2 linked regions of the Callithrix jacchus genome follow. The protein of the gene in region 1 purifies or fractionates together with the protein of each later gene. This does not show direct contact. Links are inferred from orthologs where the notes say so. Each region holds a gene or a part of one and is shown on either strand. Other genes may lie near its edges.

The links. The genes of interacting proteins can lie anywhere in the genome.
Region 2: the proteins of AAR2 (region 1) and PRPF6 purify together in Homo sapiens (affinity purification with mass spectrometry; 3 studies listed by BioGRID and IntAct, with this or other methods). This does not show direct contact. The link is inferred for Callithrix jacchus from reciprocal best matches to the Homo sapiens genes AAR2 and PRPF6.

Annotation. Positions count from the first base shown.
Region 1 is NC_133506.1:3,054,877-3,058,394, reverse strand, and holds part of AAR2 (protein AAR2 homolog), read left to right. Parts: intron 1-957; 5' UTR 958-1,011; coding exon 1,012-1,768; intron 1,769-3,518. UniProt on the Homo sapiens protein: Component of the U5 snRNP complex that is required for spliceosome assembly and for pre-mRNA splicing.
Region 2 is NC_133506.1:59,500,720-59,504,237, forward strand, and holds part of PRPF6 (pre-mRNA-processing factor 6), read left to right. Parts: intron 1-978; coding exon 979-1,117; intron 1,118-2,388; coding exon 2,389-2,508; intron 2,509-2,800; coding exon 2,801-2,977; intron 2,978-3,412; coding exon 3,413-3,518. UniProt on the Homo sapiens protein: Involved in pre-mRNA splicing as component of the U4/U6-U5 tri-snRNP complex, one of the building blocks of the spliceosome.

The sequences.
Region 1 (3,518 bases):
AGTTGTTTCACTCCCTGGAGTTTAGGTTTTTTATGAGTGAAAGAAGAGAAGATTTGTGGTTGAAAAGCTCTCTAGACCTCGAACAAATTTTAGATGCTGAGCCTCCACTTGTTACCTTCTGTCCGTTTCTGGGCCGTCCCTGAGGCTTACGGGAAACTGGGTATGTACTTGATTTAATCTTTCCAAATATTTTTGGGATAGTTTCCTGCAGAGTTGTAGCTTCAAATGATTAGGCATAGTTACAGTTTAGAGTGAGCCATCCAGGCATTTTCCACTCTCACCTTCTGTTGTGAGAAAGAGACCTGAGAAGATACTAAGAGTGGATGGTGGACAGAAGAACACTGGCCTGCAGGCTAGGTACCCAGATTCTAATTTGGGTCCTGGTATGACCATGAGCATGTCACTTTTCTTTCACTGGTATCATAGCTGTGAAGTGAGTGTCCTTGCATGTTAAACCAAAACACAGATTTTGTTGTTGTTATTGTTGTTTTTTTAAGATGGTGTCTCGTTCTGTCACCAGGCTGGAGTGCAGGGGCGCCATCTTGGCTCACTGCAACCTCTGCCTCCTGGGTTCAAGTGATTCTCCTGCCTCAGCCTCCCTAGTAGCTGGGACTACAGGCGCACACCACCACGCCCAGCTAGTTTTTATATTATTTTTTAGTAGAGATGGGGTTTTACCAAGTTGGCCAGGATGGTCTCAATCTCTTTACCTTGTTATCTGCCTGTCTCAGCCTCCCAAAGTGCTGGGATTATCGGCATGAGCCACCACACCCAGCCAAAAATCGTTTCTTTTAATTCTCATTTTCCTCATCTGTAAACTCAATGCACGGTTGTCATGAGGATTAAGGAAAATAATTATGTCAGGGGTCTAATTGAATATCTGGCACATACAGAATGCTTAGTAAATAAAGCATCTTTCCCCACGATCTAATTAACTCTGATTTCTTTCTTTCTTAGCTATTCTGGAAGACTAAAGAAAAATAGTTCTTTTGGTCACCCACCACTGGCCCCATGGCTGCCATGCAAATGGATCCTGAGCTAGCCAAGCGCCTCTTCTTTGAAGGGGCCACTGTGGTCATCCTGAACATGCCCAAAGGAACAGAGTTTGGGATTGACTATAATTCCTGGGAGGTGGGGCCCAAGTTCCGGGGTGTGAAGATGATCCCTCCAGGCATTCACTTCCTCCACTATAGCTCTGTGGACAAGGCTAATCCCAAGGAAGTAGGCCCTCGGATGGGTTTCTTCCTTAGCCTGCAGCAGCGGGGGCTGACAGTGCTGCGCTGGAGCACAGTCAGGGAAGAGGTAGACCTGTCCCCAGCCCCTGAGTCTGAGGTGGAAGCCATGAGGGCCAACCTTCAGGAGCTGGACCAGTTCCTGGGGCCTTATCCATATGCCACTCTGAAGAAGTGGATCTCACTCACCAACTTCATCAGCGAAGCTACAATGGAGAAGCTACAGCCTGAGAACCGGCAGATCTGCGCCTTCTCTGATGTGCTACCTGTGCTCTCGATGAAGCACACCAAGGACCGGGTGGGGCACAATCTACCTAGCTGGGGCACTGAGTGCAAAAGCTACCAAGAGGGCCTGGCGCGGCTACCTGAGATGAAGCCCAGAGCCGGGACAGAGATCCGTTTCTCCGAGCTGCCCACACAGATGTTCCCAGCAGGTGCCACGCCAGCAGAGATAACCAAGCACAGCATGGACCTGAGCTATGCCCTGGAGACTGTCCTCAACAAGCAGTTCCCCAGCAGCCCCCAGGATGTGCTTGGTGAGAAGGAACAAGGCTCTTTGGGAGTGGGCCAAGGGGAGGATATTAGCAGAGGTGTTTTAGAATAGGGAGTATCTCTTGTGTCAGTCCAGCAGTAACTAAGCCTGGCTAGGAGGCTGAAGATACAGGTGTATCTTTACCCTTAACCCTGGAGATTTTGATTCAAAAGATCTGGAGTAGGGCTTCAGCAGTTTCTGTATATCTGTCAAATAAACAGGCATCCTAGGCCTGAACCTGGTACGCCCAGTCCTACAGAAGGGAAAGATTTGGCCCACTGAGTGACTGAACTGAAACCAAAACCTGGGACTCTTGGTTTCTGGGCCAGACCTATGCTCATTGTAGCCTCTCATCTACCCCCGAAATTTGCTCCTGACCCTCAAGATGTTTGTCCCTCAACAGGCTTAGAACAGAACAGTGATTTTTTTTTTAAATCATTACAGTTTTTATTGTTGTCTTCCCTCCTTATTACAAAAATGATAGATATTAATCATAGAAGAAAAACAAATTAACTTCAAATTCCACTACTTAAAACTATTTGTACATTCTGGTATATTTACATTCCTTTTTTTCTGTGTATTTCTATGTATTTCATTTCAATCTCTTCTCTGTTTATTTCTATGTATTTCCTCTTAGTCTTTTAAAAATTTAGTATATGCATCTATGTATATATGTGAGTTTTTATAAAAACAGGATTGAAGTATATTACTTTGTAATCTGCCTTAATATAAACGTTTTTCCATGAAACAGTCACTTTTTTAGTGGCTATTTCATGTTCATATTTACGTCCTTGCTGACTAGCAGGAGGCTGTTGCCCATCCCCTTTGACAGCATTGGGCATGGCAGTTTAACAAAAGCCTCTTCCAGTTGGATAGTTGAAAAATGGCACCTTGCTTCTATTCACATTTCTTAAATACTAGTGACAGCAAATATGTGTCACATCTTAAACAGCTATTTATATATATATGTTTCAGATTTTCCAGGTAATTTGCATATTTTCCTGTCGGAAGTTCAGCGAGAAATTTGAATTTAGGACTTTTTTTTGAGACACGGTTTCACTCCGTTGCCCAGGCTGGAGTGCAGTCACACAATCATGTCCTCCTGTCGCCTCAACCTCCCAGGCCCAAGCGATCCTCCTGTCTCGGCCTCCCAAAGTGCTGGCATTACCATGCCCCGACAGGACTCTTTATATCATTGGTTCAGCTGATGATATAAGCTTTATTTTAACAGGTGCATCATAATGTGTTAGTATTTTCATGTCATAAGTAACATTTGAAAGTCTGCCTTAAAAATGAATAGAAATCCTGTCTTTCTACTCCTTAAACATTTCAGTTCTTCAAAATGTATCTTGTGAAAAGGTCTGTTACAGGAGTAACTTTGTTGGTTGGTTTTTTTTTTTTTTTTTTTGGGAGAAGGTCTCACTGACATGGGCTAGAGTGGAGTGGCATGATTACAGCTCACTGCAGCCTCAAACTCCTGGGCTCAAGTGATCCTCCCACCTCAGCCTCCCAAGTAGCTGGGACCACGGGTGTGTCCCACTGTGCTCAACTAATTATTTTTGGTAGAGACAGGGTCTCCCTGTGTTGCCCAAGCTTGTCTCAAACTCCTGAGCTCAAGCTTGTCTCAAACTCCATTGACCTCTTAAAGGGCTAGAATTATCCCTGTCACCTGACCTGTCCAGGGGTCATTTTGAATGTGCATTACAGCTCTTTGAAATTATTTTTGGTGTCATAATTTAATTTTAGACAAGGTC
Region 2 (3,518 bases), about 56 Mb from region 1:
TGAGCCCTTTGCCTCTTTCCTTTTCTGGTATTATTTAATCTCACTGTCTTCAGGGCGTCTTTCCATGTGTCCTCCTGGAGCCCTGGCCCTCTCACATACCCACCAGCTGGTCTGGTGTTTCTCAGTGTTTGGAGATGTTTTGAAAGGCTCTCATGGTGCCCCTCTGTATAAGGGTACCTGGAGCAGTCTAAGTGAAGAACAGGGTGGTGCCGGGCGTGGGCTGAGGTCTCAGCCTGGATGAACTGCTGCCCTCTCCCCCTGGGCACAGTGGGTAGTGCCCTCCTGTTGCTCTGCCTTCTTCCTCAGCGCAGGCTCTTGGGGATGAGGGGAGGCAGCAGCTAGGGAGCTCATCCTCGGGGAGCACAGTTGCTTGGCCGGCCCTTCTCCAGACAGTGTGATTGTGTGTGCTTACTTTGTCTTGCTGTTGTGCTCACTGAGGCCCAAAGGGGTCATTGGTGCAAGATGATGTGACTGTGGGTGGTGGGCCACACGAGGGGCATCAGGCCTGATACCCAGGGCTGGTGGTTTTGCTCGATAATGACCTAAAATCACTTTCTTTCTATGAGATCATTCTTTCGGATGCCTGCAGAGTCCACCTGGGATCAAAATCTTTATCGGTGGGTCCGGGTGTGCTTGTGCTCTGTGGCTCAAGATGAAAAGCCTCCCCTGTCACAGATGGAACTTGCTGCTGCCTCCAGGACACATGGCTGTAAAAGGGTCTCTTGTGAAGTTCCTCTCTCCAGCTCTGCTATTTAAACAATGCATTGCTTTGTAGAACCCTTTTCAGTAGTTTATTTTAGAACCTTTATTGAGAGGAAAGATTTCCCCACACTCTCCCCATTGTAAAATCTGGTCAATCATTTATAGCATCGAACTTTGGAGCAGTAACTGTCTTTCTGGCGCCCACGCCATGGCTGAGTGTGATGTGTGTTCTGGTTTATGGCCCTGACTTTGGTGCCCGTGGCCTCTGTCTTGCAGGGAGTCCCTGGAAGCACTTCTGCAGAGGGCTGTGGCCCACTGCCCCAAAGCGGAGGTGCTGTGGCTCATGGGCGCCAAGTCCAAGTGGCTGGCGGGGGATGTGCCCGCAGCAAGGAGCATCCTGGCTCTGGCCTTCCAGGTGGGTGAGGGTTGCCTGAGCGGTGAGGGGCTTGTCCACACAGGAGCTGACCTGGGTGCCAGCTGGGGCCTGAAAGAATCCTCCATGCAAACGTGGCACGTGCTGTGGTTGGGATTCCCCGGAGTCCCCGCCAGGAGCCGGGCCGTGAAGGGGCCTGAGAGGAGCAGGAAGGCAGCCCAACTGGCAGGTACTTACCTCTTGGTCTCCCCACCCAGTGTGACCACGGGCTCAGTGTTTCAGAACATAGAGCCACGGGGTCACACAGGGCCTGAGGGCACCGTAACGTGAGTGGACGCATGCAGACAGCCTCACTGAGCCAGGCCTGAGGGTGCCTGCTTGCCATGAGGCGTGTGGGTTCTTTTTATGTACCTTGTTTCTATCGTCACGTATGATACCCTAATACCTTATGACGATACAGTGTTCGTCAGATGGTTTTAATACACAATAGAATGCTGCAAATGTCAGTTTGTTTACTGTGGCTCAGGCTAACATCATAGAGTGTGCCCTTCCCTGAGCAAACACCAAGTTGAACCTTTTGCTTTCGGCTGCCTCTCTGAGATGGCATCACTCTGTGAGTAACTGCAGCATCTGCTCTGTCTGCTTGCTGTCTGCTGCCTGTCAGGTGGCTTTCCTTGCCCGTCATTTTGGGGCTGCTTTTCAGGTCTGTGATGTGGTCATCTTGCATGGTCAGTGGGTGGCTATGCTGATTAGAGTTAGTCTGAGCACCAGCCCCGGGGAGGCTTTGAGGGCAGAGCCTGGGTGTCCACTGGACTCTGGGCTGTGTAAGCCTCCTCGGGCTGTGGGTGCCTTCTCCACGTCAGCGGCATACTCGGGGTTCTCTGTCCTGCCCACATGGACTCACAGGGACAGGACAGCTGGCTTCCTTTCACCAAGCTCAGGGGAAGGAGGGAGGTTGGGTGTGGTGGGTCTACCAGTATAAGATGTGAGTGACCCATTCGGGGGCTTTGAGAGGGTATGGGTGGATCCTGAATAAGATGGCCCTGCACCCACCCCTTTTATTGCTCGATTGAGTGCTTTGGAGGCCTCCCCACTGTACCAGAGTGAACATGGGCCTGTGTGTTCCAGGTGAGTCTGGATTCTTGGGCTGGAGTCTGCTCTGTCATCTCCTCCCTAGGAAAGGCTTGGACCAGACTCCTGCAGCAAAGCCAGGCCTGGCTGGGTCCCTCCTGCCTGCCTGCTTTTGATTAATGTGATTGAGCGCTGGTCCCTGTGTTCTGACCCCTCTTGACGTTGCTGTACTTGTCCTCCAGGCCAACCCCAACAGCGAGGAGATCTGGCTGGCGGCTGTGAAGCTGGAGTCTGAGAATGATGAGTACGAGCGGGCACGGAGGCTGCTGGCCAAGGCGCGGAGCAGTGCCCCCACTGCCCGGGTGCGCAGGGGCAGGCAGGGCTGGGCTGGGCATCGGGTGCGTTGTGCACTTGGGTGGTGGTGGGAGTCACATGACAGCAGGCAAACTAGGCCTCAGCACACGCTTATTTTTGTGATATGAATTTAAAACATGCATTTATCCCCAACATTTGTGTACACAAACGGGCTATGAAATCTTACAAAAGTACACACAGTACTGCAGGTAGCAGTGTTGAGGAGTGGAGGATGAGCGTAACGTGAAGCATGTGCCTTGGAGCCAATGTCCTACGTGACCATGCGTGTCTGCCCCACAGGTGTTCATGAAGTCTGTGAAGCTGGAGTGGGTGCAGGACAACATCAAGGCCGCACAGGACCTGTGTGAGGAGGCCCTGAGGCACTACGAGGACTTCCCCAAGCTGTGGATGATGAAGGGGCAGATCGAGGAGCAGAAGGAGCTGATGGAGAAGGCACGGGAAGCTTACAACCAGGGGGTACGTCTCTGCCTGCACCCGGGGCTGCCGCTGACCCAGCGCTCACAGAACTGAGCCCCCCGGTGCAGGGTCACGGCCTTTCACCTCCAAGGAGAAGTGGAGGGCTGGGGAGTTACAGCTGATGGAGCTTCGGACTCAGGACCCAAACCCTGGTCCCTTCACTGTCCTGTGCTTTTCCTTGTACAAAGCTGCGCACCTGCCCTCAGCAGTGCAGAGCGTGGCACGCCTGAAGTGTATATATACCTTTGTGCACAGGTACATAGCACCACTGCACACCTTTGAAGCCATAAATGCAGAGAGCATGGGGGTGTTTTTCCATGGACACAGGCTGCCCTGAGGCACTTGCTCAGCCACTACAGATGAGAAGCTGGGCGTGGCTATGTCCCAGTTCTTCATAGGCACCACCTGAGCTGCTCTCTTACTTGTTGGCTGCAGTTGAAGAAGTGTCCCCACTCCACAGCCCTGTGGCTGCTCCTCTCTCGGCTGGAGGAGAAGATTGGGCAGCTTACTCGAGCACGGGCCATTCTGGAAAAGTCTCGTC